Diceros bicornis minor: one gene and its partners. The protein of the gene in region 3 purifies or fractionates together with the protein of the main gene of each other region. This does not show direct contact. Links are inferred from orthologs where the notes say so. Each region holds a gene or a part of one and is shown on either strand. Other genes may lie near its edges. The genes, in order: ACSL3, TFRC, ERBB2 and ATP1A1.

The links.
Region 1: the proteins of ERBB2 (region 3) and ACSL3 purify together in Homo sapiens (affinity purification with mass spectrometry; 3 studies listed by BioGRID and IntAct, with this or other methods). This does not show direct contact. The link is inferred for Diceros bicornis minor from reciprocal best matches to the Homo sapiens genes ERBB2 and ACSL3.
Region 2: the proteins of ERBB2 (region 3) and TFRC purify together in Homo sapiens (affinity purification with mass spectrometry; 3 studies listed by BioGRID and IntAct, with this or other methods). This does not show direct contact. The link is inferred for Diceros bicornis minor from reciprocal best matches to the Homo sapiens genes ERBB2 and TFRC.
Region 4: the proteins of ERBB2 (region 3) and ATP1A1 purify together in Homo sapiens (affinity purification with mass spectrometry; 4 studies listed by BioGRID and IntAct, with this or other methods). This does not show direct contact. The link is inferred for Diceros bicornis minor from reciprocal best matches to the Homo sapiens genes ERBB2 and ATP1A1.

Annotation. Positions count from the first base shown.
Region 1 is NC_080776.1:12,674,467-12,682,089, forward strand, and holds the start of ACSL3 (fatty acid CoA ligase Acsl3), read left to right. Parts: upstream 1-4,614; 5' UTR 4,615-4,718; intron 4,719-7,623. UniProt on the Homo sapiens protein: Acyl-CoA synthetases (ACSL) activates long-chain fatty acids for both synthesis of cellular lipids, and degradation via beta-oxidation.
Region 2 is NC_080754.1:27,158,711-27,165,728, reverse strand, and holds the start of TFRC (transferrin receptor protein 1), read left to right. Parts: upstream 1-3,967; 5' UTR 3,968-4,023; intron 4,024-7,018. UniProt on the Homo sapiens protein: Cellular uptake of iron occurs via receptor-mediated endocytosis of ligand-occupied transferrin receptor into specialized endosomes. Endosomal acidification leads to iron release.
Region 3 is NC_080757.1:39,359,160-39,366,714, reverse strand, and holds the start of ERBB2 (receptor tyrosine-protein kinase erbB-2), read right to left. Parts: upstream 3,080-7,555; 5' UTR 2,866-3,079; coding exon 2,793-2,865; intron 1-2,792. UniProt on the Homo sapiens protein: Protein tyrosine kinase that is part of several cell surface receptor complexes, but that apparently needs a coreceptor for ligand binding. Essential component of a neuregulin-receptor complex, although neuregulins do not interact with it alone.
Region 4 is NC_080743.1:48,793,423-48,801,081, reverse strand, and holds the start of ATP1A1 (sodium/potassium-transporting ATPase subunit alpha-1), read right to left. Parts: upstream 3,001-7,659; 5' UTR 2,750-3,000; coding exon 2,738-2,749; intron 1-2,737. UniProt on the Homo sapiens protein: This is the catalytic component of the active enzyme, which catalyzes the hydrolysis of ATP coupled with the exchange of sodium and potassium ions across the plasma membrane.

The DNA of each region.
Region 1 (7,623 bases), on a different chromosome or scaffold from region 3:
TACTTTAAAAAACTAATTAATTTTAGGCTATTTTAATGGCATTCTGGGGGGTGAGGGCTGGGAATAGATTCTTTCAATATATTTTACAATTATCAGACTCTCATTAAAGCTTAGGTATTCTGTTTTATACTGCAAGTGATGAACAAGGGAGAACAATAAAAATGATCAAAGGGAGGGCCAACCGTGTGGCATAGTGGTTAAGAGCGTGTGCTCTGCTTTGGCGGCCTGGGGTTTGCAGGTTCGGATCCCAGGCGCGGACATACGCCCTGCTCATCAAGCCATGCTGTGGCGGCGTCCCCTATAAAGTAGAGGAAGATGGGTACAGATGTTAGCCCAGGGCCAATCTTCCTCCGCAAAAAAGAGGAGGATTGGCAACAGATGTTAGCTCAGGGCCAATCTTCCTCAAGAAAAAAAAAATGATCAAAGGGATAGAAAATAGGTCATTTGGAAAAGAGTTTTTTTAAAAAAAGATTGTCTAGCCTGGAAAAGAAAAAGTAAGAGAGGACTTTCATCAAGTATTTTATGAAGGTGAAGTGCTATTAAAGGGAGGCTGGTAGGTTCTTAATCACTAAAGTGGAACAAAATTAAATCACCTTAAATTGTAGAAAGAACGTGTTGATAGAGTGTTTATGCAATCCAGTCTCACTGAAGACACTGAGACTGAGAATCTCAGTCGGTGGAGATCTTTATAAAGTTGAGAGTGGATATGAGGTGTCCCATGTGATGACTCACCCCATGGTCAACCATGTACAACCCTCCTGAAGCTGATGCCTGTGTTGAGAAGAAGGATTTCCTAGAAAGACAGGACCACAGGATTTGGACACACAGTGGCTTTTAGAATTCTCCTGATTCTTTCTTTGCAATTCGGTAACTGGGAAATTCCTTGAAATACCTTCCGGTTTTGTTTAACAAAAGGACAAATGGCAGACACTGTTGACTGCCCCCTTGTAGCGGATGCTGTGGGCGCCCTGCACATAGACCCTTGGCATTCACGTGCCCAGCATAGGCTGATGGCACCTGTGAGTCTGCAGCTCAGGGCTTTCTCTCTACCACTGTGTAGGGCAGTGATTCATCCTCACTGGGGCCGATAAATAACCCGGGGAAGAGTTTGCCATCCCTGCCCATTGAGCCTGGCCAGCACCACAATCCGAGGGCTCACAGAGTGTCTGATTTGCCGTCATGGGATCTTGCATAATATTGGTCTGCCACCAAGGGCCTCATTTTACAGCAGAGGAGCAACAATGAACACGTGACTACAGGACCCATGGGTCCTGCCACGGACTTCATCACAGATAAATGCTGCCTGATAGAACTTTTAAAGACCCAGCTTGAGGATGATGCTGTTTTCTTGGTAAGACGTAGCTCCCCAGTAAACACATGCCAACATGTAGGAGAAGCTGCTCTTCTCTTCTGGCTTTGCGTGTATTGCGTAAAGATAATGCTTGGAGCAATTGCAGCCATCTTGTAACCATGAGGGGGGAGAACATGAACACTGAGAATGGCAGAGTGAAGAGACGGAAGGAGCCGGGTCCTTGATGACACCAGTGAGCCTTTGAAGCAACCCTGGAATTGCCTTCCTCTGGACATTTTAAGTGAGATAACAGATGGTTTTATTGTTTAAGCCCCTTTTAGTCAGAGATGGGTACTTTTAGGTGATATGCATGGCAGACACTGCTGATTGGGCCTTCCCACATTCGTTCCCTCCCACGGCCCCTCCTGTGTTGATGGCAGCTATCTTCCGTTAGAGAGGCCGAAAATGCTGACGCTTTCCCAGCCTCCCTTGCAGCTAGGATGTGAACATGTGACTCAATTCTGGCCAATGGGGCTTAAGGAGCAATCTGTGGTGAGCTCTCTGAGAAAGAGTTTCCTCCTTAATCAGAAACGGTGTTTAGGGTGGCTGGCCCACGGGCATAGCGCTTACGTGCGTGTGTTCCGTTTCAGTGGCCTGGGGTTCGCAGGTTCGGATCCCAGGTGTGCGCCAACGCACCGCTTGCCAAGCCATGCTGTGGCGGCGTCCCATATAAAGCAGAGGCAAATGGGCACAGATGTGAGCCCCAGGGCCAGTCTTCCTCGGCAAAAAAAAAGAGGAAGACTGGCAGCAGATGTTAGCTCAGGGCTGGTCTTCCTCACACACACACACACGAGACATGGCGTTTAGGAAGCATGCCCCGATTCCTTGGCCAGAGGCTGTTGTGCCTTCACGTGACACTTGGAAACTGCGGCTGCCATCTGTGACTATGATGGCTTAAGGATAAAACTAATGGGCTGAGACTAGCAGAGTGAAAGATGGTAAAAGCTTGGGTCTTCAACGACGTGGCAGAGTCCCTGGATCCACCTTGGACTTGCCCTGCCTCTTGAGCTATCTTTATGTGAGGAAAATAAATATCATAATTTAAGCTGTTTTTTTTGAACGTTCTGTGCCTTGAAGCCAGAGCCATCGTAACTCAAACATATAACATTAATGTGCCACCTCAGCTCTCCCCGCTGCTCAATCCACCAGAAATGAAAGAACAAAACAGGTTCTGTTAAACTTTTAAACATCAGCTGGTCCTGGTTTTACATTATAATGATGATGGAAAATGCTAGTAGTAGTTTGCTATACAGTCACAGACTGTTTCTGCGACCCTTCACATGAAACAGATCCTTAGGTATTCATGAGAATTACAAAGACATTTCCTCTCAATGCCCCTGTAATTTGGAGAAACAACAAAACTATAAAAGGAACGGCTGGATGTTTTTATTTAGTTGGCCATTATAGTTTCTGAATTGAATTTCTCTAAAAAGAAGGAAAATGCAGCCAAATTCCAAAACTCTCAAAAGCTCTAAACAAAAATAAAAATATACTGAAACCCTTTCTAAAAGAAAAGCAACTGTGGATGTATTATTTTATGTAAGAAAACATCTAGAGATTAGAAATATTACATTTCTGTTTAGCCTCAGCAAACAAGATGAGAATTTAGAATTTTAATTCCAAAGAATATTTTCTTTTGAAAATGTCGTATATACATGTATGTCTGTATACACCCATATATATTTTACAACATAGAAAGATATTAAGATGTTGCTGGAATTCTACTAGTCTGCTTTATGCTTATTGATGGGAAAAAAAGGTTCAACACCGGTTTTCCTCCCTTGGGAATTACTTATTTTTTCTGGAGGCTTTTCATGGTTCTGGAACTAACAGTTCTAAAATATACTTCCCTCTGCATGCAGAATGGTGGCGGGCTTTTCAGATAAGACATTCTGCATTCCTTTCATCTTCAAGGTGTATCCTCTGATAGCATTTCGGCAGATAAGCGAGCAACCAAACATATTTTCTAGTGGAAAGGTAGGTTCCCTGAGTCAGGTATCCATTCCTTTAGGTAGCTGAATTGGCCTGGGGCCCAAGGGGTGTGAGCTTTCTTTGCTCTGTGGATCATCACTCCACAAGTTCAGGCGGCTCCGCTGATTTCCAGATTCTCTTGGGAAGTGAGCCCCTGCTTAGCCTGAGGCTGGCTCATAAATGTCACCTTTCACCGAATTAAAAGTTTTGCATCGCATGGAGATTTTCATTTCAAGTAGCTATTCCTAGCTCCCTCACTACCGGAAAAAAAAAAAAAATCAAAACCCTCCAAATCAGTTTTATTTCTTGTGGTATCAAATCTGACTTAATGTTATAACTTCGTTCACAGACCGACTAAATAATATGTTGGCTTAAAAAAAAAAAATAGAGCCCAATCCTACTATTACTGCGGTAATGAAAGCCATCTTTCTTATAGTGCACTGTAGCTGCTGTTTTAGTCATTGTGTTTGTGTTTTTTTCGTTTGTTTCTTTTCTTGTAGAGGGGTAGTCTACCCGCACTGGATGACTTTTCTCCCTTCTGTAGTGTCTAAAATGGGGTATAATGGCCAACTCTTTAAAATATAAAAACACTTTAGATTCATAAGAAGAACGTCCAAAACCAATAACTTGGAGTAAACTTGATCCTTCGAAAACAAATACCAAACTGGTATAAATAGTGAGTGCATTTAGGCGAGATGGGTTATTTGCTGGGTTAGGTGAAGCTAAAACAAGAGAAATAATAAAGGACCATGCTTTGGATTTTTGAGCCCCCTCTCGCACCAGGCGTTTCCAAAAATCATCTCATTTTACCAAACGTGACAGAAACGTGTGCAAGAACAGGATACCGAATCCAGTGCAGAATGAAAATAATATGCATATTATCTCAGGATCTGTGTTGAGATTTATGCATGAGAGCAATGACTGCGTTTGCAGATTTTGGGGGGGGGCGGCCGTCCCGCAGACCCCGCTGGAGCCCCGTCGCGGCCGCAGAGCCGGCGCCCCGCCCCCCGGCCCCGCCCCGCCCCCGCCGGCTGCGGCTGGGCCCGACCGCGGCGGCTCCGGCGAATGACCCGTAGTAACCCCGCCCCGCCCCCGCCGCCTGCGCCGCGCTCCCGGCCGGAATTCGATAGGCCCGGCCCCGCACGCGCCACCGCCCGCGGGCCAATGGGCGGCGGCCTCTCTGCGTAGGCAACGAGCGCCGGCCGGGCTGCGCGTCCCGGGCGGCTCGGCTCAACAGACGCTGGCTGCGGCGCCGGGTGGTCGCCGTGGCCGGGTGGGCGAGGCGGCGGCGGCGGGGCAGCGGACGTCGCCCTCTGGCCGTGCGGCCGCGGCGGCGGCGCGGGGCGCTGCAGGCCCGCGTGGGCCCGAGGCGGGAGCGCGGGGGCCCGGCGTCGCGGTGAGTGCGGCGGGGGCGGCCTCCGCACGGGCCGGGGCCCCGGGGGTGTGCGCGCCGGGCGGGCCCGCAGCGTGGGCAGCGGCGCCCGGGCCCGGTGACGCGGGGCCTCGGCCGCGGGGCCCACGTGGGCGGGGAGCCGCAGCCCGAGCGGCCGCGCCGTCCGCGCGAGGAGGGATGCGCGGGGTCCCTCCCGGCGCTTTGGGGGCGCGCGGCCGGGGGGGCGGCCGCCTCGGCAGATCGGCCCTGACGCGGTCCCTGGGGGGGAGCTGAGCCCTGCGATTTCGGAAAACCGTGCAGCAGGGGCGGGCGGGGGTGTTTGTGGCCGCGGGGTGTGAGCAGCAGTCGGGTGTGTGCGACGGGGCGACCTTGGTGTGTGTCGTGGCCTCACGAGCTGTGGGGGCAGGGCTGGGATTAAGACTGTTGCGGGGGCGAGAGTTGAAGACTGACTTTCCCCTCAGTGCGTGTTAATTACACACCAGTGATGGAATGGGTGACACCGCGGGAGGGCTTACTACCAGCCATCCTGTGGGGTCCTTATCAGACCCATTTCACAGCTGAGAAACCGAGGCACGGAGCCGTTGACTGGTTTGCCCAGTCCGGTTGTAGCATTGGTATACAGATACTCTAAGCTATTGTATATATCGCCCCTCAAAAATAGAAAGGATGGAACAGTCTTTAAAATTATATGGAAGCTAGAGAGGGGATAGGCCTTGTGCAAGTGATTAAAGCTGAATAAAATGACAAATAGCTGACATTTATTGAGTCTTGATTACATGCCGTGCACTGTACTAAGAGCTTTATGCGTGGTTTCTTTATACTGTTAACAGCCGTCCAGGGTGGTGATTATTCCCGTTTGACCGCTAGAGGAATGTGGACACGTTCATTTTCCCCAGATCACAGCAACTCAGGAGAAGCTGGGATTCAGACGCCGGCCTGTGTGAAAATCCAGAGCTCGTCTTTCTAACCACTTATGATGCTGCCTCGCCTCTCCTTGCTGGCTGGCTGGAGAGTTGCCACGGTGGATTCTTGTTTGGGTGGCCAGGAGCACTGTGGTTTGATGGTCATGATCCTCACCACCTTTGTTGTTTCTCCAGATTAGTTCCCCGAGTTGAAGGGGCTGCTGAGTTGCTCCTGAAAGTGTATTAGAAGGTTATTACAGGGAGGCGGTGTTGTGACGTGGGAGTCTGTTGCACAGACTTTATTCTTCTGTTTTCTGGCATCTTCCCAAGCAGTTCTTACCCTTAGGGATGAGTAAGGCCTTTCTAGTCACTCTGGCATTGTCTCTTTAGACTTTTCCTGGTTTCTCTCTTATGCTGTAAAAAGGTTTGGTTCTGTTGGATGGTCTTGTGGTTGGGTGTAGGGCAGAGAGGGCCATTGGATGTAAGGGTCAAGGTTACAAGTGATCTAGTGTCTTTGTTACTGGATTTGTAAGACATTTGGACTGGGTGGTTTAAAGTTGAAATATTCCGTGAGTCTAAAATGTCCTGGAAGGAGAGAAGTGTGGAAGAAACGAAGGATGGAGAAATTATGAGAGGAAGATCATGCTCTGTCTGGTTTAGGGGGGTCAGATCTTAAAGCCTCGAGATCTTTCTCAGGGCTTCCCTGCTGTCTGGTACTGCTGAAATGACTAGTTCATTGCTCGTTCAGTTAATTGCTCAACTAGAGCCCTTTAATTCCTGTTATATGTCAGGTACCACGTCAGGAGCTGGGAATAGAGCAGTAAACAGAATTGACGTGATCCTTGCCCTCACGGAGGAAACAGACACGAAGCAAATCGTCATCCAAATACATATGTGATTACAAGTTATGATATGTGCAGTGAAGGGAAAGTAGCGTGTAAGTGAAGATTATAATGAGGACTGTGATTTAGATGGAAATCTAGTCTAGGGAGTGTTTTGAATTGATAGGGTGAGCTTCTGCTAGATGACAATCTTGCGTTCTGAGTTGTGATTAAATGTGCATAACGCAAGAGTGTGAAAACTTTTGAGCAACAATGTTGTTTTCATTTCACAATGTCTGTTCCTACCTTGAATGTCACACCCGGGCACATTACAAGATACGACAACAAGATAGGGATCATTTTCAAGCAGTCGTTCTGCCTGCCTTCAGGGTACTTAATTATTCCTGTAATACTTAAATTTTCCTCTCTCAAAATGAACATTTGAGAAGCAAGAATCTGTATATGGGATCTGGACTTGGGAATGGGATTAGAATGTATTCAGGAAAGCGAGGCCAAAAGAGGGGACAGGTTTTTCGAATTTTCGAGAAGCAGCATCGTAATTATCAAAAGTATCGAGTGTAGTTTACATTTAACAGAGTGATTTTATTTAAAATTCTCACCCCTTAGGAGACAAAAGTGATGAGCTGGTTTGGGAAATATAAGCTGTTAAATATGTGAATATTTCAGTTGAACGTGTACTAAGCCAATACGAATAATTCATTGTATTATATTTACTGTGTGCCATCTGCATGCGAAACACTGCACTAGGTGTGCCATGTGGAATAAATAAAAAGAACTTGGTAAAGTCTCTGCTTTCAAGGAGATTTCAATTTAATGAGTACTAGTACTCCGATGGAACTCCTCCCTCCCCGCCCCTCCCTGCTTTTTCAAAGCACTGTTATCTGTTAGCCCATTTGATCCTCGTAAGAGCCTTATATCATGAGCAGAAATATTGAGAAAATGGAGATTTAGAGGTAAAATTGCCAGACATGGTGATTCATGGTATTTGGGGCAGGAGGAGGAGATGTCGAGTGATTACACTTGAGCATTTTGGGGTCATCAGTGTCGAGGTGACGGCTGAAACCGTGGACGTGGGTGAGATTGCCTGTGGAGAGACTAGAATAAGAACCGAGGAGACCTGGGATGGCGCTGGGGAGAGGAACCTGAGCAGCTTGCCGAGGAGAG
Region 2 (7,018 bases), on a different chromosome or scaffold from region 3:
AGTGTAGGGTGGTAACAAGTTGAAACAGTGGGCAAAGTAACAGGGAGAAACCTTGGTAGTTGATATTTAACTTTGATCAAGTCATTTGTCCTATTCACTAAGAAGACGTGTGCTCTGAGAAAGGAGATGGCCTAGGACTGCGGTTTTCAAACAGTCATAGCCCATTGAGAAATCAGTTTAATGGGTTGAAATCAGCATCTAAAAAAATAAATAGAAAATTCCAGACTGCTTTGCACACAGCAAGGGTATTATTTCATGAAACTTTTGATTCGGTTTTGTGTGAATACACATAAATATATATACACATATACACACACACATACACATGTGTATACTGAATTGTGAAGTAAAATGGACATTTTACCATGGAGCACAGTCAAAATGTTTGAGAGGGGCCGGCCCGGTGGCGCAAGCGGTTAAGTGCGTGCGCTCTGCTGCGGCGGCACGATGTTCTCCGGGTCGGATCCCGGGCGCGCACCGCGCACTGACGCACTGCTTGTCAGGCCATGCTGTGGTGGCGTCCCACATAAAGTGGAGGAAGATGGGCATAGATGTTAGCCCAGGGCCGGTCTTCCTCAGCAAAAAGAGGAGGGCTGGCAATGGATGTTAGCTCAGGGCTGATCTTCCTCACACAGACACACAAAAAAATGTTTGAGAAATGCTGGCCTAAGAAACCCCACTTAGCATTTGGGCCACAGATAGGACCCCAGAAAGAGCAAATGGTTCTGGATCCTCTATTACTGAGGTGACAGATTAATGTACTTTTTTAAAATTGTGATAAAATATACATAATATAAACAGAATAATGTTTTTAAATGTAAGGGACAAAGTACTAAATGCCTTTGTCTAAAAACTTCCCACCCCCAACTTGCATCATCTTGCAGGTGTGGGTTTACAACCCCATTTTTTTTCCTCCAAGATTCCTGTAACCAAGGTAAGAGGTGTATGTTTTGATTTTGATCTTAGGGGGCAAGCAGCAAAAGTTCTCTCTTGTACCTGTGACAGTCTGTGGAAGGCTGGAAATTGAATAACACTCATTTCAGTTATAGTTTAAATAAAGGTACCAAAAACTTATTTCATTGCAAGCATCCAAGTTACTGGGTCTCCAGAAGTGGGAGCTAATGGTGTCGACGAAAAATTACCAATAACCATTAAGAAATTTCAATGCAAAATAACCAATAACCATTCTATAGATAAGAGAGATAAGGTGAGTTCTACTTCAGCCAGGGTAAGGATTATAATCCAGGAAGGCCTTTTCCAGAAAGGAAGAAAACTTTCAGAAGCATGGTTTTCAGTACAGTCTTATACACTTTTAGAACAAAGAACATACATGAAACACACCCAGGATACATTTTCATCAAAGTTTCAAAGAGGTATTTAGTTGCAAATTAGCAGGTCAACATGAACCTGATGTCATAAAAGGGACTAATAAGGGAGTTACCAATAGGGCATTAACCAATAGGGCATAGGAGGGGAAGTATGCATTCTTATTTTAAGACAGTGAATTCTGTACTTTAACGGTTAAAGCAGATGTAAAATGTATGTTGGACAGGCCATAAACCAGGCTTATTTAGTTCTAGCTGAATCAGTTTTTTTTTTTTTGGTGAGGAAGATCAGCCCGGAGCTAACATCCACGCCAATCCTCCTCTTTTTTTTTGCTGAGGAAGAGTGGCCCTGGGCTAACATCCGCGCCCACCTTCCTCCACTTTCTATATGGGACCCCGCCACAGCATGGCCTGACAAGCGATCCATCGGTGGGCACCCGGGATCCGAACCCGGGCTGCCAGCAGCGGAACGTGAGAACTTAACCGCCACGCCACAGGGCAGCCCTAGCTGAATCAGTTTTGAACCCGAATAGTAACCCCATACACATCAATATGTGAAAATTTCTCATCAATTATATGTAAGAATGGCAACAACAACAATAAAGAAAATTAGAGGAGAAAAACAAAATCTTTGAACATTTGTATGGAATACCAGACAAAGCAAAATTGCTCAGTATGTATAGATTCTGCAACAAAGCAAGACAAATTTATTTTCGTCTACTTGAAACTGCAGAGGAGGGAGATCTTGCAAAGCTACTAGGAAGAAAGGGATAGACAAGGGAATTTAATTGCATAGTGTCCGTTATTACTAATAAAAGCATGAAAACAAAAATATAAAAATATAACTGACACACTCTTTAAAGTAGTGTCCTCTTTGTTGTTTCATTTGAGTGACAGTAAATTTTTTTATTTGGATTTCCATAGGTTCTGTCCTGACCTCCCTCTCCTAAGCCCATTTTCTCCACGTGGTTTTCAGTTTCACCTGGAAACTACCACTGATTTTTTTTTTTTTTTTTTTTTTAAGATCCCACCAGTCAAGGAAAGGGAGAGGGGACTCAGCCCGCCTATCGTCTGAATTTCAAGGTGGCCCCTCCATAGCTAATCCGTATCCATTCCATTCCTGGCTTTAGTTTTTTCCTGCGCCGATCCACTAACGTGCAGCAATGCTCCTGCTTTTAAGATTTTTAAATATATCTCCTTGGGGAGAGATTTTAGGGAACAGAGATAGAGAAAAGTGGTGGGCGGACCCCGTGTACTTCCCCTATTTTAGCACGGAATGGAGGAAGGAGCAGGAGCCCGAGACCTGAAAACTGATTTGCATTCTAAAGGACCGTTCCGCGTCCCTCGGGACTCTGACCCCGAAAGCGCTTTATCTGTAACCCTTTTAAGGCCCCGGTCGTTTGTAGCTGTGTGCAAATTTGTCTAATCTCCTTCTCAGGACTATAGGTTACCGACTGGAGGGAGGGAGAGGGTGCGAATGTTTGGAAAGCGTTTAAAAAGTGACAAGAATCCAATTTTATTTGTTATGCATTGCACAATCCTACAATAACACTAATGGCAAAGAACATGAAAGTTCAGCTACAATTCTATCACCCTAATAAATCACTTGTTTCTATTTTCCCTTCCATTCCCTCATGCATTAAACACTAGGCAAAGCACTGTGCCGATCTCGGTTCCTGTGCAGCTTTTACACATCCTACATACAAATCTGTATTTTGCTTTTCATTCTTTTAACTATTTGCTTATCCTAAGTATTTCTTTTTTTGTGTGAGGAAGATCAGCCCTGAGCTAACATCTGTTGCCAATCCTCCTCTTTTTTGCTGAGGAAGATTGGCCCTGCGCTAACATCCGTGCTGATCTTCCTCTACTTTATATATGGGACACCGCCACAGCATGGCTTGGCAAGCGGTGCGTGTGTCCACACCCAGGATCCGAACCTGCGAATCTCGGGCCACCTAAGCCAAGCGCGCGAACTTAGGCCACTCCCCTATCCTAAATACTTCTTTTTTTTAATTTTTTTTTAAAGTTTATTTATTTATTTTTCCCCCAAAGCCCCAGTAGATAGTTGTATGTCATAGCTGCACATCCTTCTAGTTGCTGTATGTGGGATGCGGCCCCAGCATGGCCGGAGAAGCGGTGCGTCCGTGGGCGCCCGGGATCGGAACCGAGCCGCCAGCGCCAGCAGCGGAGCGCGCGCACTTAACCGCTAAGCCACAGGGCGGGCCCCTATCCTAAATACTTCTGAGGCTGCAAAACATATATCCACAACATGGCTTTAGCGGCTACCTAATATTCCATCAAGGACATACACTTTAAGGAATTACTTCAGTGTAAGTGTTCACCATCTAGGAGTAAACGCTAACACCTTTGACCTTGCACTGCAGAGTCTGGAGATCAGTCAAGGTTAGACAGGAGGCTCCAGGTCGCACAGCAGCAGCCCAGCCCTTTACAGCCTTTGGCGCCTTTTCCCTCCCTCGCCCCATCCTGCCCCGCGCTCTAGGGGGCGGTCTCCTTTTGAGTGCATGCGCAACCCTCCCCCAGGCCTCTTCATTGGTGCACGTAGCGGAAGTGACGCAAGTGGGAGGGGTCGGGAGAGGCTCCACCTGGCAACGAGCTCGGCCGGTCGAGGTAGTGTGCTTGCGAAGGCGTCTGCGTCGGTTGGTGGCGGCTTGGGTACGGGTGGACGGGAGAGTCGCCTGTGAGTGACGCGCCGCTGTTAGAACCCCGCCGACCCTCCTGTCCTCCGTTCCGCCTGCAGGGCTGGTCCGAGCGGTCTCCACTGCGGCCCCCTTGGGAGCTGTCCAGCAGCCCACGGGGCGCCTCCGGGTGGGGTGGCCGGGATGGAGCGGGGCCCGCCTGCCGGCGGGGAAGGGGCCGCGGCGGCGCGAGGAGCGGGCTGTAGGTGCAGGGGGTGGAGCCGCGGCGCGGACAGCGGCTGCCCTTCCTTCTCTGCCTGTCTGCGCCCTCCTGGGCTCGGTGGCGGGCGGCGAATGGTTTCTCTCGTAGGATTCTGAGGGCGAGATGAGGGCCACGCGGCTGTCGCTCTGTGCCCCGCCATTCTGCTTCCGGCTCCTCAGGCCACCCTCCATCCCTTGTTCTTGCCAGCTGGCCCTTATTAAAAATGCAGGTCCTGCTGGGACAGCCTTAGGCCGCGGGCTCGGGAGCGAGGCGTCCGCGCCGGGCGAGCCGCGCTGCCGCCGCATTGGCGGGCCCGCGAGAGCACGTGGCTGCTGCGGGGAGCGTCCCTACAGCTCTCAGGTGCATGGGTCACCTTGAGCTCCTAGCCCTTCGCTTCCTCGAGTCCTGCTCGCGCCCAGGTCTCTTCACTGCTGACAGGGACCAGCTGTCCTCGATTCGGTTACGAGTGTGTCCTGGCATTTAGATGGGGATTCTGTAAGCTGTACATTTGAACGCGGGTACGACCTGATCTTTCATGCCGCCCGTTGGCCTTGTGTGTGGGTTCTCAGTTTTCCCAAGTCAGAAGCGGACTGAACGCTGCCGGTGTTCACATTAAGAATATTCGGACTGCTAGGCTCTCCTCACTGTAAAATGGGAGACCATATGAATAAGACTGATGCTTTGTGAAAGCTGTGGTTTAGAGGCTAAAAGCTATTGAAAATTAGCGATATGGTCAAAGGGCTGTGCTCTCTTGCCAAACGCCTTAGAGGCCCATGGTGTCACTGTTTCTGGTGGTCAGCTCTCTTAAGGTGGTAGTGGGGAGAATGGGTAAGAAAATGTTTTTGTGACTTGACTCTTTTCGGTTAACATTTTCACTTTGTTCACTGCTTGTAGTAATCTTGGTTATACTAGGGAACTCGGTTGCTGCTGCTTTTCCTGTTTTTGTCTTTTTTTTTTTTTTTTTTTTTTTTTAATTTTTTTTTTTTTTTTTTTTTTTTGTGAGGAGATCAGCCCTGTGCTAACATCCGCCAATCCTCCTCTTTTTTTGCTGAGGAAGACGGCCGTGGGCTAACATCTGTGCCCATCTTCCTCCACTTTATATGGGACGCCGCCACAGCATGGCCTGCCAAGCAGTGCGTCGGTGCGCGCCCGGGATCCGAACCAGCGAACCCCGGGCCGCCGCAGCGGAGAGCGCGCACCCAACCGCTTGCGCCACCAGGCCAGCCCCTCTTTTTTTTTTTTTTTTAGGGGGAGTAGGAGCAGGATTGAAGTAGGAAATAGTTGTCCTGTTACAGAAGTATTCGGATATCTGATACCTTTATTCTAGGCTTAGATAGGAATTTGCAATACTAGATGCTGATTCTTTGTCTCTGAGCTGGGGAGTTTTGACTTTATTGACAAAGACGTGTAAGGTGATTTCCAGTTTTCTACTGTGAAAATTAAGTTTAGACTATCTAAAGTACTTGTTGGTCCTGCTGCTTTTCCCCTCAGTTTTGGATTATAATAAACTCAGTGTGCCTCACAAGAAAATCTAGAGTTAAAAAATTTTTGTTGTTGATATGAAATATTTTCCAAAGTCTGTATATAGCGTAGCACCCTTTAACTTTTCTTTGCTTGAGTGTTCTTGTCAAGTAATGGTGGGCTTCTAGCCTGTGCTGAAGACTGTTGAATAAGGATGAACAACTTGGGTAACTGTCCTAAGGCGAGGCAGTTATTTGCCTCTGATAATGTACTTACCTATAATGGTTCTCAGCTAGATTTGAATCAGACAACAAGGAAAGCTAGTTAAAAATGATCCTCTGAGGCCTTTTGGAACTCTTCTGTGGGGGTGCCTTCTGTCTGCTCCCCCAGATGAGCACTACATGAATAGGCATGAATAAGGCTGCCGTGACTTCAAGGGCTCCTGACCTTCAAGTTGGGCAGTCTTCTTTCAGAAAGCTGAATGGAAATGAAGATTCCGCTTGTTTTCCTTGATTTCCTCCACTACCTTTTCATTTTAGGCCCATAAAGTTAGACTCTTAAAGCTAGGGAAGACATTGATTGTCTCTTTAGAAGTCATTCTGTGTATACACAAGTATGAGTTCTGAGGGCCCTGCAGAAGTTTTGTAAGTTTACGTAATCTTTTCATTTTCACCTGCAAATCCATAGTTGCCTGGGGAAATAGTTTGCAAAAGGGGTATCTGTAACCAGTTGTTTGAGAGAGTATTTCAGGATAAACCAGAACAGTGGCAGGGATGGGAAAAGATTCCAGGTCCAGGGTTTTCATTATATTCTCTTTTGTATCATTTCCAAATGATATGAAAAATGAACCTCATATACATTAAGCGTGCCCCAATACCGTTAAGAAATAAAATATCTTTACTCTTTGTTAATTACTACATAATTCCATGTCAAGTATTATAGGGAAATTAGTCAGAGAAGTTCTTGGAGGTGGCCCTTGAGCTGAACCTGGAAGAGATGAGTAGGACTTCAAGAAGAGAGGAAGAATGTTACTGGGTAAAGGCAGGGGTTATAGTCTGTCTTATTTTGAAGAAAATAGAGGGCAGTGAATTATTAGGTAGTGAAGGTCTCTAGAACCGAACCTCAGAAGCAGGTAGAGGAACTTCTTTTTATGTGAGCTCCAAGGACTTGAAACTGTGGCCTGTTTTCTAAATTGAAGTGGACTTGTCAATAGTAACAAACAAGTGGCTTATTCTTATTTTAGGTAATATGGAGCAGAAGCTTTGGGTATGGTATACATAGGTGAAAGTGTATTTTGGTACCTGATTCCCCTTGCTTAGCTGTATGTATTGTAT
Region 3 (7,555 bases):
CAGGAGGGGGATCTCTTTCCAGATCATTCCAGCACCCAGGGGCAGGCACAACTACCTGGGCCCAACACCAGCCCCCAACCCCTGCCCCACACTGGTCCTTCATGCTTCTACTCCAGCTGTCTCCCTCACCCACCGCCTTGCAGGTCCCACTGGCCTCTGCCCCGCTCCTGCCCTCAGCCCCCTGCAATGCCAGGAGGGTCCAAGAGGAAGGCAGACATGGGCTGAACAGGGAGGGGGAGGACTCTGAAGCCTAGAGGGGACCTCAGGGGGGCCCCACTCACCCCACTTTCTATGGCCCAGATAAGGGAGCTCATTCACCTGAGTAAGAGTGGCACCTGTCCCCCAGTCCAGCCACCTGGCTGCCCCTGAGGCTTCGCTCAACCCATTCCTGTATGGATGGACATGGAACGAGACTTTGACCAACCCTTAACACCTCCTCATTAGAGTACAAAAATGCCCTGGACATTATTGGGTCGCTGGGAAGCCCTGGGTGAGTCACCTCATTTCTTTGAACTTCAGTTTTCTCACCTGTGTACCTCCTTCACAGGATTGTTGCAGACAGAAAATGAAACCGTAATGGAGAAGCACCTGCACACAGGAAGCACGCTGTATATATTTTAAAAGTTAAGGCTTGGGAAGTTCATACAGCAGGAGTATGAGTAATTCTCTTTTTGCATTTCATCCTATCTTTTCAATCATTTTTTCCCTGAATATTAAAATGAGGTTACTTTCCTTGAGTATAGTAAAAAGAAGGAAGGAGGCTGTTGGGAGAATCATATGGGAATTAAACTATGAGCTTTGCAAGATAAAGAAGATGTGTTTGTTGCACTTTACAAAACCTTGACCTCTAAAAAAGGATCCCAGGGAAATGCTGACCCTCTGGGCCTTTCTGTCTCCCCTTCCCCCACATTCCTGCCGCAGCCATTAGCCCTGGGATATAATGGGGGTGCTAGAGGCAGCTGGGTGGTGCGCTGCCATTTTAACCATTCCCTGCACAACACACAACCTAGCAGTGCAGGCTGAGGGGTGAGGAAGACCTGAGGAGGCCCGGGTCATCGGTGGCAGAACCGACCCCTCAGGTCCCAGCAACTCGGCTACTCTCCACCTGCTCAATTCGAAGGCCCAGGTGAGGAGGGCAGCAGCTCAGCCTGAAAGCCCAGCCTGGCCTCACCCTTCTCCGCAGAAGGTCAGGGGTGAAGATACCCGCCTGGAAAACAGGGAGGGGAAGGATGGGCTCCCGAGAAAGAGGAGCCTCCTTCCTTGGAAAGAAGGTGTGGGGCCACCTCCTGCTGTTTACAGCAGCTCTGGCCCGGCACCTTGAGGGAGTTCCTTGAGAGGGCAGAGTTCAGCCGAGTCCCCAAGTCAGCATGGAGACTGCTGTTTGGCAACACAAAGCCCAAACACACAAACACACAGACCACACAACTCAAGAACACCCTAGCATAGAAGCCCCTCAGATAACACAGCAACGCTCTGACAGAAGGACCCTCGGGCAACACACAGACAGGATGACACCCACCCCTTCTCCAGACTCCTCGACCTATGGAGACCACCCACTACTTCCAGAACACTCTCATTTTGTCTTCCCCAGAACCCCATGATGCAGGGAGCAGCGTCCCCCATTGTTCAAGGTAGATTAATACAGTGATTTCGAATGTGTGGTTGGAGGTCCCACTGCCTGGGGTCCAATCTGGGACCCACCACTTACTCTCTGCTACTTATTAACCTCTTTGAGTCCAGGTTTTCACCTGGAAAATGGGAATACTAGTAGGACTTCTCTTACAGGGTTGTTCTATTCAAGGAGGGAACACATGCAGAACACCTGCACAGAGCCTGGCACAGAGTATATTCCCAGCACACGTTACCTCTAATCATTATTGCATACAGATGGACAGATGGGCAGGACACACACTGCCCCCACCCTGCCCCCCCATAACTCTTCCCCACACACAGCGTGAAGAAAAAGGCAGGACAACCCAGCCGTCCGCATACCCCTGTCCCGTCCTATTTCTTAGCCTCCCTCCCGCCTCCAACTGCCCAGAAATCCCTCCCTTAGAACTCTCCCATTCTGAGCCCCAGACCAGGAAACCCACCACCACCCCTCCGGGGCCCATGCTCTCCAAAAGTCATAAAGCACACAGTCTCCAAACTGGCCCTAAAGAAAACTTGTTCAAAACAAACGCCTCCCCCTCCCCCCATCCCCGACTCCAGCATGAGGCAACTCTGCAGTCCGACTGGCCTCTCTCCTCCCCGGCTCCGGCTGGACAGGTTGCTTTCCCCACCTCCCCCCTCCACACCCCGATCCTGTCCGAAGCTGGAGTAACTAAACCCTATCTGCCGAAGGGGGGGGCAGGGGGAGGGGCAGGCAGAAGAGACCCCCGAGAAATCCAGCTCAGTCCAGTCTGGAGGCGGAGGCTGCCAACTGGAAAGGCTTTGAGAAAGCCTGAGGGGGCTCAGAAGGGGGAACACGAACGCGCACACACACCATGCAATACACCCTTTGAGGGAAAACTTTCTGAACAATTTCAGAGAACTTTTTTGACAAGTTCCCGGAGCCGTCGCGGAGTCTGGAAAGCGCCAGTCCCTTGAATGGGACATCTAGAGCCGCTCTGGTGTAATTACCCCCCGTCCCACCTTCTTTTGCCCCCTCCCCGCCGGGGGCCGGCTGCTCTGAGCGCCTGGACTGCCCGAAACTTCGGGTCGGGGAGCCCCCGCCGGCCCGAGGATTTCCACGGGGGTCCCAGGCTGCAGGGTCCCGTCACTGCTCAATGCCCACCCCACACCAGACCCACCTTGGGTGCCCGCGGCTCCAGGGGGCAGGAGGGCGAGGAGGAGCCCCCAGCGGCACCAGGCCGCCAGCTCCATGGTGCTCACTGCGGCTCCGGCCCCATGGCTCCGGCTGGACCAGGCTGGGAGGGCGCCGGGCGCGTCGAGGGGAGGGGGCTGGGCGCTCGGCGCCGGAAAGGGCACCCTGCGAAGGGGCGGACGGCTGCCTCGGGGGGCTCTTGTCGGCTCTCTGGGCACGATGGAGGGGAATCTCAGCTCCACAACTTCATGCCTGTACTTCCTCAAGGCAGCCCTCCTCCTCCACCTCCTCCTCCTCCTGTGATTGGGAGCAAGCGCGCTCACAACTCGCCCCCCCCACCCCCTCCAACCACATTCCAGCAAGTCCCTGGGAGTGGCAACTCCCAGCTTCACTTTCTCCCTCTCTCGGCGCAGGCCGGGGTGCGTCCCTCCCAGCGCCCGGACGCTCGGGCTGCCTGCAGCAGTTCTCACCCGTTCCCAAGGAGAACCCCCAAAAGGAGAGGAGGGTGCTCGTGACCCCTCCCTCAGGAGTCTGGAGCAAATGCTTTAGGCTGACATCCTTAACTCTCTTTTAAGTCGCAGGTTTTATCGTAAACATTCCTGGCGAGTTTGCATCCTACTCCATCGCGTGCCTTGTTTTCATATCAAATAATGGTTTTCCCACCGCATCCTTAAGTAAAATTGCTAGTCAATAGTGGTGTATTTCATTGGTGGCTTCCGGGACTCCCTGGCGTAGCTTTTCGAATTTCTTAGGTATCTTTTTCAGTCTGAAACGCGTGGTTTTAAGGGGGTCTACAAGTTTGGGGGAGAGAGAGTCAAATTGGAGAGACTTCCATCTCAATCCTTCCAAGAATATCCCTTGTGTTTCTTTACCGGGGCACTCAGCACCCCATACATCCAGGGTTTCTTCTGTGTCTCTTGCCTTTTATTAGCCTGCTCAATTCCACCTCCCCGCCCTGCATTCCACCGGGAGCCCCGGACCATGTTCTTAAGGCCCCGTGGTGGGTGGGGGGGGGATTGGGGGTGGGCGATGGAAGGAAGGCATGTTTTTGTTGGAAATTCCAACAAAATATTGCATGGGACATACTTATACTAACAAATTATTCTCTGTTTATCTGAAATTCAAATTTAACTGGGCATCCTTATTTTTATTTGCTAAATCTGGCAACTCTAGTTGGAATGCCTCAGCCAAGGGCACGCCTGTGTTGGTCAAGAGGGGATCAGAGGCACCTACTGGGGACTGGAGAGTGAAGGACGCTAGCGTTGCTTAAGCTGCTTCCATATTCCTATCATGGTTATAGGCGGGCACTTTCACAGTAGGGACGTGAGAACAGGGCACTCTGGGATCAGAATGACCTGAGTTCAAATCTCAACTCCACCCCTTATTGGCTGTGTGACCTTGGGCAAGTGACTGAGCCTCTCTGGGTCTCAGTCTGCTCACCTGTAAAATAGCCATCTGGCATACTGTGCTAGGGATTATAGGAAATAATGCTCCTGAAGCATTCAGCACAGTACTTGGCACATAGTGATTGCTTAATACATGGTCTCAGATTTTCTTATACTTGGACAGATCCAGGTTTTGTGGGGCCTGAAGCTTATGAAATTTGGGGGACTCTCTTTAACAAGAGGAATACAAAGTTATGAATACAAAAGCAGACACATGCATGCAAATGAGGGGCCTGAAGCTTACCCTTTCTTAACACCCTGGTAAGTCCTCCTCCAGCTCTAACCAGTGATGTTCAAACTGCAGGTCAGGTTCTATTAGAAGGTCAGTCATGAAACCAATTTAGGTGATCAAGTCAAGTCTTTTTTTGTGTGTGTGTGAGGAAGATCAGCCCTGAGCTAACATCCATGCTAATCCTCCTCTTTTTGCTGAGGAAGACCGGCTCTGAGCTAACATCTATTGCCAATCCTCCTCCTTTTTTTTCCCCAAAGCCCCAGTAGATAGTTGTATGTCATAGTTGCACATCGTTGTAGTTGCTGTATGTGGGACACAGCCTCAGCATGGCCAGACAAGCGGTGCTTCGGTGCGCGCCCAGGATCTGAACCCGGGCCGCCAGTAGCGGAGCGCGCGCACTTAACCGCTAAGCCACGGGGCTGGCCCAGGTCTTTTTTTTTTCAAGATATAGAATGGAATAGAAAAGATCCGCATCACATCCTCACGTGTAGTAAGGGTGAGTGTGGGTAAGGGCATGTGTGTCCGGTGTGATGAGGTACAATGGATTTATTCCTTGGATCATGGTCATGAACGTTAAAGAAATACTGCTGTGTCTGGGGACACAGCAGCCCTTCAGGATGGACATCAATACCCCTGTTTTCTCTAAGACTCAAGTTAGAGTTAGAGTGAGGGTCAAGGGAATGGAGGCTCAAGAGAGTTAACCAATTTTCCCAGGACCTTCCATCTCAGGGCTAATGAGGGAAAAGTTGAACAGCCAGCAGAACCAGCCCCTCACCCTCACCCATCACACAGGCCAGAACCCAGTCAAGGTGCCTCTCAGCCCTGCGGGGAAAGAAGACTGCTGACCTGGCTCCAAGAGTCATTTGCAGTCACATAGTAGAGTGCTTGCACCCAGGCACGTGCACATGCAGTCTTCAAGAGACCGTCAGGGTGTTAGAGATGTCACTTCTCCCCTAGGCCCCACCTTCCCCTGCTCTTGTGTTAGAAGAGTTCATCCAGCCAGGGAAGTGGTGCCATCCTTTACGGGACTCTCACTCTGCACCACTCTCTCCGTCCTGGAGAGACACTCTTCATCTTACTGAGGCCTCAGGGTGTCAGAGAAGAGGGGTGTTATCTTCCCCATTTTGCAGAAGAGGAACCCCGAGATTCCGAGGTAACGGGAACTGAGCCATGAAGCTTTGGCTTCATCCATTATGCTCCAGAGTCCCAAATCAAGGGTATCATGAACCCACCCTCTCCCTGGGCCCCTGTAGGGGAACCAGAGGGGGGTCCTCCAAGAAATCAAGGTAACTGCTGGTTCCTAGCTCCACAAAAATCCCTCCTCCCCCTCCAACCCCCGCCCCCGCCAAGACAAGCCCACCCTCTCCACATCCCGGATCACAGGAGGAAACCCAGACTGGAGACAATGCTCAGTCCTAGTGGGCTGCAGAGAGAGGGTGGAGCCAGCGGGAGTGGGGATGAGGGGGGAGCGGGGGTCAGAACTCACGCCCCAGGAGGAGGCTTGAGAGGGGCCAAGTCTCCCAAAGAGAATGAGCCCATTCAGAGCCAGGAAGGAAGGGGAAAAAACCTTGTCTGGTGTTTGACAAGAGGAGAGGAAGGGGGGCAGGGGTGGGCGCTGCTGATTTGCTTCTCCCCTCAACTGCCCCTCCAGCAGGGCCTGGCAGGAGAGCCAAGGAAAGAGGATGTCTGAGGGACAAAAGCTGAGGGGGGGGGACCTTGGGGTGGGGGGGGATGGCCGGGTGGCTGGAAGAGCCTGAGAGTTTGCCAGAAGGGTCCAGTGAGGGGCCTGGGGAGAGGGAGACAGCTACACAGGAGAGGGCTGACTGCAGGACAGAGGAGAGTGAACCGAGGGGCTGAGGGCAGAGGCATGAGACCTGCCGGAGGAGGTCCTTGTGCAACAGGTACTGGGCCTGAGGGCAGTGGAGGTGACCACCGGCACTCAAGAGTCAGGAAGGGGCTCTGGCTTAGGGAGGTGACCTCTAATGGTCAACAGGCTGAGGTCTGGAACCAGCGGCCTGTGAAATGCCAGTCAATCATTGACCAGCCACTAAGACTGGGGGGCACAGAAGACTCTGTGTGTGTGTGTGTGTGTGTGTGTGTGTGTGTGTGTCTGTCTGTGTGTCTGTGTGTGTGTGTCTGTGTGTGTTGGCACCAGAGTCTCCTCCCCTCTGCCTACCTCACCAGCCAGCCTGGGGTCAGAGGACTGAAAACAAACAGAAAAAGGGAGGAGACGGTTCACAGTCCGAGGTCTAAGCCGCAAACTGGAGCCTTCCCCACAGGCCTCGAGTCTAGGGCATGGGTTGCTGGGGAAGTGTCTATATGAATTAGTTACTTAGAAAGAGTCCCCCCAAGAGTAGGCACAAGGCCTCCCTGGGGCCACAAGAGAGTAATTTGGAAGCTTCTGATAAGAAAATCTGTCCTTGGGCCAGCCCCATGGCTTAGCGGTTAAGTGCACGCGCTCCGCTGCTGGCGGCCCAGGTTCGGATCCCGGGCACGCACTGACGCACCGCTTCTCCGGCCATGCTGAGGCCGCGTCCCACATACAGCAACTAGAAGGCTGTGCAACTACGACATACAACTATCTACTGGTGCTTTGGGGGAAAATAAATAAAAATTTAAAAAAAAAAAGAAAATCTGTCCTTCATAAAGGTGGCGTTTTAAGAACACTTGCAACTTAACCACTGGGAGGCCAACTCCCAGGGCCTAGGGTCAGCAAAGGAGCAGAGCCCAAACTGACAAACTGGGCATGCCAATCACCTCCCTCAGCCCCTCTCACCCCATCTCAGGACTGCAGGCCCGGGTTGGCCCGGTGACGTAGCAGTTAAGAGTGTGCGCTCCGCTTCGGTGGCCCAGGGTTCGCAGATTCGGATCCCTGGCGTGCACTGACGCACTGCTTGTCAAGCCATGCTGTGGTGGCATCCCACATAAAGCAGAGGAAAATGGGCACGGATGTTAGCCCAGGGCCAATCTTCCTCAGCAAAAAGAGGAGGATGGGCATTGGATGTTAGCTCAGGGCTGATCTTCCTCACAAAAAAACAAAAGGAACGCAGGCCCAAGGCCTGGGGAGTTTTC
Region 4 (7,659 bases), on a different chromosome or scaffold from region 3:
ATAAACTATGATTTATTTTCTAAGTAACTAAGTTAATATTCAAACAATGGAGAACTAAAGGGAAGGACCTGGTGACATGCCCCCGTCCTCCCCCCGCCCCCCATCTTTTGTAAACTTAAGAAAAGGAAAAGTTTTCGTGTGTACCTTTGGTGAGGGAAATAGTTGTGGGTGGTAGGCCTGGCTGTGGATTTAAGCCAAGTCATTGGCAAAAACACCCACTATGAAAAAAAGGACAAAATCCTATTTCATCCAGGAATGATTCAGCAGGAGCTGTTCTTTCAATTTCTTACCCAAAGCTTAGAAACTAGATTTTTAAGGAGAAATAAAATCACCTGAAATATCATTAAAACCTAGGCCCCCAATGATAGTGGGAAGAGGAGGGGAAGAAATTAACAATGACCTTAAAAATGAGCTGCCAGCACAGGCTTCCTCGTTAACCAATTATCAGCAGGGCCTTAGTCACCACTCCACCCACATTTTAATCCCCATGTGGAAAAATACCAACATCTCAGCATAAAATATCCTTCTGAACATTTGGACTATCACAGTAAGTCACTGGGGACAAAAGGGGTAACTTTATCCTGGGAGAATCACCACCACTTATACACACATACCCCTTAACGTTCAATTTATCATAGTACCCAAAATACTGACTACAACCCAGCAGATAAGCAGCATAGCATCCCGTGTTACCCAGCTGTCATTCAATTTTGTGTTTGCTAGCCACTGAACATTTTATTAGGATCCATTAGACATCTTGGTTGAACCTCCACAACCCAGGTGTGTTGCTATCTTTACCACTACTATGCATGTATGTGGTTACGAAAGAGACATAACAGACACATACACATAACTTACTCAAACATCTCTCTGGTCCATTAATTCAACCTCACAAATACCCCAGTTTCATCTGAAGAATAACTTGAGAGTTCTCCACATAAGGCAACGTCAAGGAGTGCGTGAGTGCTCAGGCTGGGGAAATCACAGGCTGGTTAGGGACGTCTGGTGTGTCATTAACTAACCATTTGACCTTCAGCGAGTCACTTCACCTTCCTAGGCCTTGGGTACATACCTGTGATCTCTACATCCCCCCAAATCAGTAAGGTCCAGCTCTGGAAACAAACTTTTTTTTTTCTGAAGGGGGAGAAATAAAGGAATGAGCTTTAAAGAGCTAGTTTAGGAGAATGATCTAGTGTTTGACACAGTGGTACAAGCACAGGCCACTAACCCAGTTTCCATCCTGGGGAGTACAGAGGCTGGCACTCAGCTCTTTGCCTTCAGCTACTTGACCTGGGCCAGCCCTCCCTCCACATTTTGTGCTTTTAAAAGATACCAGTCATACATTCCCACTTTTTCCTCTCTCCCCACCAGGTCCAAGCCTTTCAAGTACCTCCTTCAAAATCCATTTGGAGTCCCCAAAGAATGAACCCTCCCTCTTCCCCATCACTCACTCCACCTTGAGGAGCCCTAAGAGCCTTCAAAGGCCTACTAAGCACCAGGCACTGTGCAAGAGTTGGTGATAATAATGGAGTGGATTCTCTCTTACCGGTATTCTCATGGCCCCGTCATTTTACCCCACGAATTGATACTTTGGGGATTATTTTGTATAAACTTTTCTCAACTAGACGTTGGCCCCGGTGGGGTCCGGGACTCAGTCTTCTGCCTTGGCTATGGGTTATCACAGCTCCGAGTTACAGAACTGTAGGAACGAGATGTTGTTCTGGTATTCCCACAGCGCTCCTGCACTCTCCTGTCCCGGAGACCCCTCGTTCCTTCGGGAACCGTCTTCCGCGAGCTGGCACTCTTACCACCGCGTACTGCCCGCCACCTCCAGTCCTTTTTCGGGTTTATTGTACCCAGAGGCCCTGGGGGGCTAGCCTGTCTTCCTTCCAGGCTCATCCTTCCAAAAAATTTACACACCCCTCCCCACCGCCAGAATGACCGCTCCAGTCGCCCGGGCGCATCCTGTGTTTATGGCCAGCGTTCCATCAAAGCTCTCAAAAGTATACCTTAAAGGCCATCTTAGGGCAGTGAAGACACACCCTTTCTGGCACCAGCCCGCCCAACCGGCTCCGCAGTAAGGGGAAACTAATTTTTGCCTTGGAGGGAGGGCGGCCGCCTCTACGGGGGAACTGGCTAAGCCCCCGCGCCTGCAGGAGAAGGAGCCTCGGACCCCAAGGCCGCCCCCGCGTCGGAAGCCCGGGCCGCGGCGGGAACGGCGGCCCGGGAGGGGGCCGGGCTGAGCGCCCCAGGGGAAGGGGAGGAGCACGCCTTTCGTCCGGGCACGGAAGGCGGAGGGAAAAAGGAAGGCGAGAGATGGGAGGTGAGAGCGGGCGGAGGGAGGGGAGCCGGGCTCGGGATGCGGCCGCCGGCGGCCGTTCGCCCTCCTCCCGGCCCTGCGGCTCCCGAGCGCCGCCTCCAGGAGCCCCGGGCCGCGGCGCGCTGCGACCCGGGGGCCCGCAGCCCCTCTCCCGGGGCTGCGCACCGCCCCGCGCTGCCGTCCTCCGTCCCCTCGGCGCTCCCTGCCCCCGCCCGCCCGTCCCCCATTACTGCGCTCCCTCCATTTCCAAAGTGCGTCGTCTTTTAAGCCTCGCCGCTCTGCCAACCCATTCCGCGCCGCGCCGCTTCCTCCTTCCCCGCCTCCCGCTGGCTGCAGTCGCCCTCCTGACTTCCTCCTCTTTCTCCTCCTCCCCTCCAGGACTCCCTGCGCCCCCTCCCCGGCTCGCCGGACACTCACCCCCTTCCCCATGGTGGCGGTGGTCTGTGCCCGGCGCCGGGTCCTGTCGCTTGAGAATGAGAGAGAAAAGAGGAGAGAGCTCCCGGCCGAGCGAGCCCGGCCGGGGGAGCCGAGAGGAGGGAGCGAGGGCTGCTGTGGGGCGGGAAGGAGGGAGGACGGCCGGCGGCTCGGGCCGATGCCGCCGCTGCTACTGCCGCCGCCGCCGCCGCCGGGGTTGCTACCACTGCCACTGCCACGTGTCCGCCTCCTCCCGCCGCTGCTCTGCGCCCCAGACCCCGCCGCAGCTCGAGCCCGCGCCTCCGCCTCGCTTCCTAAAATATGCAACCTGCGTGCTGGCCCCGCCCACGCCGCGGCACGTCACCGTTGCCGGAGCAACCTGACACCGGCCGCCGGCCTGGCTCCGCCCCCGCCCCAACCCCATCCCCGGGCTGGCTGCCGCTGGTCTGGGCTCCCGGCAGGAGGGCGCCGGGCCCGGGGCGCGAGTGCCCACGGCCCGGGAGGCCCCGGCCACGCCACTGCGGGGCGCACCGACTGGCTGGGCAGCGGGGCCTCGGCGGCCGTGGAGCTGCCGCGCCCCTCCTCCCGCCGCTCGGCGTGACCGGCCTGCTTTGTAGGGCACGGAAGGTCCGCAGTGGGTGCGGATACGTTTTCGGAACGGGGCTCCCCGAATCTCCGCGGACCCAGAACAGAAACCTCGCTCTGAGGGGCCTTTCTAGTGCATCAGGGAGCTCCTCTGCGACTAAAGGACGCGCCGGGGTTGGGGGTGGGGGGCTTCGGGCTTGACTGCAGCCGGCGCCCGCCTGAGGGACTCCGCCTTCCTGCAGAGTCCAGGCCCCGTGCCCACCTGCAGATGGCCTCCCCAGCCTCTTGGTGCCCTCCCGAATGCCTCCTCCAGTCTGGGATCCGCGTTACCCACTTCCCGCTCGGCCCCAGGAGGAATGGGTCTGAGCCTTGCCCGAGGTCCCAAGCGCCCCCCTGCTTTCCTTCAAGACCCCAAATGACAATCCAAAGGGTGTCCAATGAATTCATTGAAGCTACAGTGAGAATGAAACCTGCTTGTCCAGTTTGGGGATTCGCTTTTTAGGGGAGGAACACTTGAAATGTAAAGGAATGCGTATCTTGAACAAAAGGGACAGACTCGAAGGAGAGAGGTTTGAGGACCTGTCTGGTGCTTCTCCATGCCTCCCACTCGCACAGCAGCGCCTCTTTCAGCGCAGAATTGGGTGCTCTGAGGGACCTGGGCCTGGAGTGTGATGACAAGGCCAGGAATCCCCCAGAGAGCCCTGGCCCGGCTGCGCTGTGGGTCTTGCCTCCCATTGTAGTTTATGTTTCTTAGCAGAGGCTGCAAGTGGCTGAAGGTCTCCAACATTTAGAAAGCTAAGTATTACTATTATTGCTTGCTTTCAGGAAGTCAAGTATACTTTGGGAAAACATAAGATTCGCTCCACGTCTCTGAGAAAGTCGCTCCAAGTCTCTGGGAATTCCTACAAGAAATAAGGAAAATAACTTCCTAAGCAACTTAAAGCTGGCCCTATCAACTCTATTAATTTAACATGAACAAATAAAGATGTGAAGCTTGAAAGAAATGGGGAAGGAAGGAAAAAAGGAAGGAAAGAAGGCAGGAAAGAAAAGGAAGGAGGGAAAACTAGCAACTGTGTTGTCAGTTAGAACATTAGGGTGATTTTTATTCCTTTTTAGAAGAAACTGTTTCTTACATGTGTGTCTTCCTCTTGTCCAAGAACCCATTGTTAGAGGCTGGTGCCTCCTCCAGCCATCTTCAGGCTTGATTAAATCAGTCCAGGCCATGAAGAGCAGAGGAATTGGAAACTGGATTCGAATTTGTGACTGCTGGAGAAAGAGCCCCCAACTCCAGAGCAGAGTGCCCACCACTGCTAATTCAACAGAAGGCATTTGTAGAGTGTTATCAGGGCTCTATCCCCAATGGTCTAGAAAATGCTTTTTTTATATGCTGGTACAGCCCCTGTTACTGCTAACCTGTAGGAGGCTTTCGCTTGCCAAAGGTCCCTTAGCTTGTTTAAGATTAATCATCCCTTGGGCCCTGGTCTGAACAGGAAAAGTGCAGCAAGAACAGCAACAAAATGTAGAAAGCAAAAGTCTGAACAATGTCGATTTCTCCTGCCAGGTGATCCCCTTTTTTTCCCTTCATAAGTAAAATTATCATTTTTTCATTCAAAAATATAACCAGATAGATCAAGGCATTTCCCTTTGTCTCTAGAGCTGTTTACCTGGCAGCTGACGATTGCTGAAGGTCCTTCCAGGAGGACCTGAAAGTTCTAGCTATGTTCCAGAGTAAGGAAGAGACACAGAAGTATAAGAAATATTAACTAAAATCTGTATTTGCCTTTGCCTCCACTTAGCACTTTTACATATAAAATCCTCTTGGATTCTCACAAGTCGGGAAGGTAAAGGGCTTCAGCTGCATTTTACCGAGTGGGAAACTGGAGACTCAGGGACTCAACCAGTGACTGGGGGAGTCTGGCCTCAAAATTACAAAACAGGAACCATCTTCCTAGCTCTGAAGTTTGGTCTCTGAGCATGGCACCAAGAAAGTTTTGGTGGGAGAATAGCAATTGCTATTAACATTGCTGTCCTCACAAATACAGAGGGTTTCCACATGGCTCTCCTCTTTTATAACCAAGAAGACCTCAGCTAGAGCCTTTCTATTTCCACTCTTCATCAGTCTATTGTGTGTGTCATCGTCAGGCAGAGAACCATTATTTTATAGAAATGCCCTATATGGATCTACAAACACTTCCCCCACCCCTATTCTGACCCACCTGATCCCACCTCCAGAGGCAAATCCCATTCCATTTTTAAGGTATTTGATAATGCCATTTTATGTTTCAATCCTATTGAAAAAAACAGAATTCAACAAAAACATTTCAGAATATCAGAAAGGGCCTTGGTATTGATCCTCTAAAGTTGATGCTTTCTCTTAGCACTGCGCCCAAGTGCTATGGTCTCTGCACTTCTGGGCAGTCTTCAGGGGTGTTTTCAGGGGTAAAGGTTATTGCCATGACTTGAAGGCTAATTGTAAGAGGTGAAGAGAAAAAATATGGTAAAGAAGCAGGAGTTGCAAACTTTTGTGGGAAAGAGTGATGGAAAGAATCCCTGCCTGGTTGTAATATGGAGCCCTGGACAGGCCTGTGGAATTAAGACAAAGGGACGGCATCACCAGGCCTGGGGTGCAGAAATCTCAGATGCAAGAGCATTCCCTTGGAACATAGGAGACCAAAGTGGGAAAAGCCCTTTTCTTGGGAAAGACTTGTTTCCTCCTCTTGGGAGAGGCTTCTGAATGGAACTTGAGAGATCAAACACTGCTCATTTTACAATGAAGAAACAGGCCCAGAGAGTGATTGGCACCAGATAGTTCTAGGAGAGTGGTAGAACTTTTGTGCACCTTTTCGAACATCCAGCACAGTGCAGGGGATAAACAGAACTTCCAGAAGACAGGATGGGGCAAGTTCTGCCTCTCCGATCTATCTGCCTCTTATCCCATCAGCTTTCTTTTTAAGCTCCTAGCTTGGGGCACAATTAAACTGATTGACCCAGAGACTCAGCATTTACAGACCCCACGGCTGCCAAGTGTGGATGGCTTCGAGGAGGATTTGACACAAGCATGGAGGGTTGGGCCATTCATTGTGAATAGAGTCAGCAGATGTATGAAAAATATGATGCAAGTCAGTATTTTGAGCCAAGAATCCTAGCACTTTGAGTAAGTACTTGCTGAATTGAATAAACACGCCATTGCAATTAAGGGCTTTAGAATATGAATTGGAGCCTACACCAAGTTAGCATTTTCCATAAGAAGTAAAAATTTGGGAGATCAATGAGCTAAGGATCTAGAAGGACAGAAGTCTTTGCTCCAGCTTGCCCTAGAGCTACTATGGAAACAATCTTAAGCATGCATCTTTATCTTTACTATTTCTTAGGTACCCCGGAAAGTCACTTAGCTGCCCCATTCTTACTGCATTAAAGCCAACTCGTCTCACCATCCCAAAGTTCCTCCTAGCCCAATGTCTATCCCACCATTGCAAATCTATTTTTTCCTGTCCAGCAACAGACATATTATCTCCCACTTTAAAAGCACAGTTCTAGGCACACCACTAACCATCAAAATCTGTCAGCTAGGACCCGGCCTGGCCTGGTGGCATAGTGTTTATGTTCACACACTCCACTTCAGCGGTCCAGGGTTTGCAGGTTCAGATCCCAGGCACGGACCTACACGCTGCTCATCAAGCCATGCTGTGGCGGCGTCCCACATACAAAATAGAGGAAGATGGGCACAGATGTTAGTTCAGGGCCAATCTTCCTCACCCCTCCCACCCCCCCAAAAAAAATCTGTCAGCTAAATAATTCTGAACCCTTTGTAACTTTTCCTCCCACATTCCATTTTCTACTTCTTAATTTACTTTTAAGACTCTTTAGTACTCTTCTAAACATACTTTCTTCTGTTAATGATTTTTGAAGACCTTGGGTCTTGCCTCCGGAAATTTAGAAAAGTCACATTTACTTGATGCCTGTCCTGGGGGCTATTATAAACTACACAGGGTCAAATCCTCAGTCTTTTCCTCAGCATCCCTTTAACACAACTGCCACTTAAATAATTTGCTCTTATTAATAGCAGTCTTTGTAAATAAAACAATTATAGAGGATTCTTTAGTTGTTCCCCAAGTGTTTTACACTGGATCCTGAAATTAAGAGCCAGGATTTGGTCTTCTCTTCTAGCACTCTCCCTTTATACACTTCTTCTACTCCCCTCACTCCAATTCCAAATGCTATTAAATGCTGCAAGATCCTGGCAGGTAAAAACTCACCATTTGTTTTCTACAAATCAACAACCACTGGGGCATTGCAAGCAAAATTAAATGGCAACAAAGATAAGGTCTGAACCAAAAAAT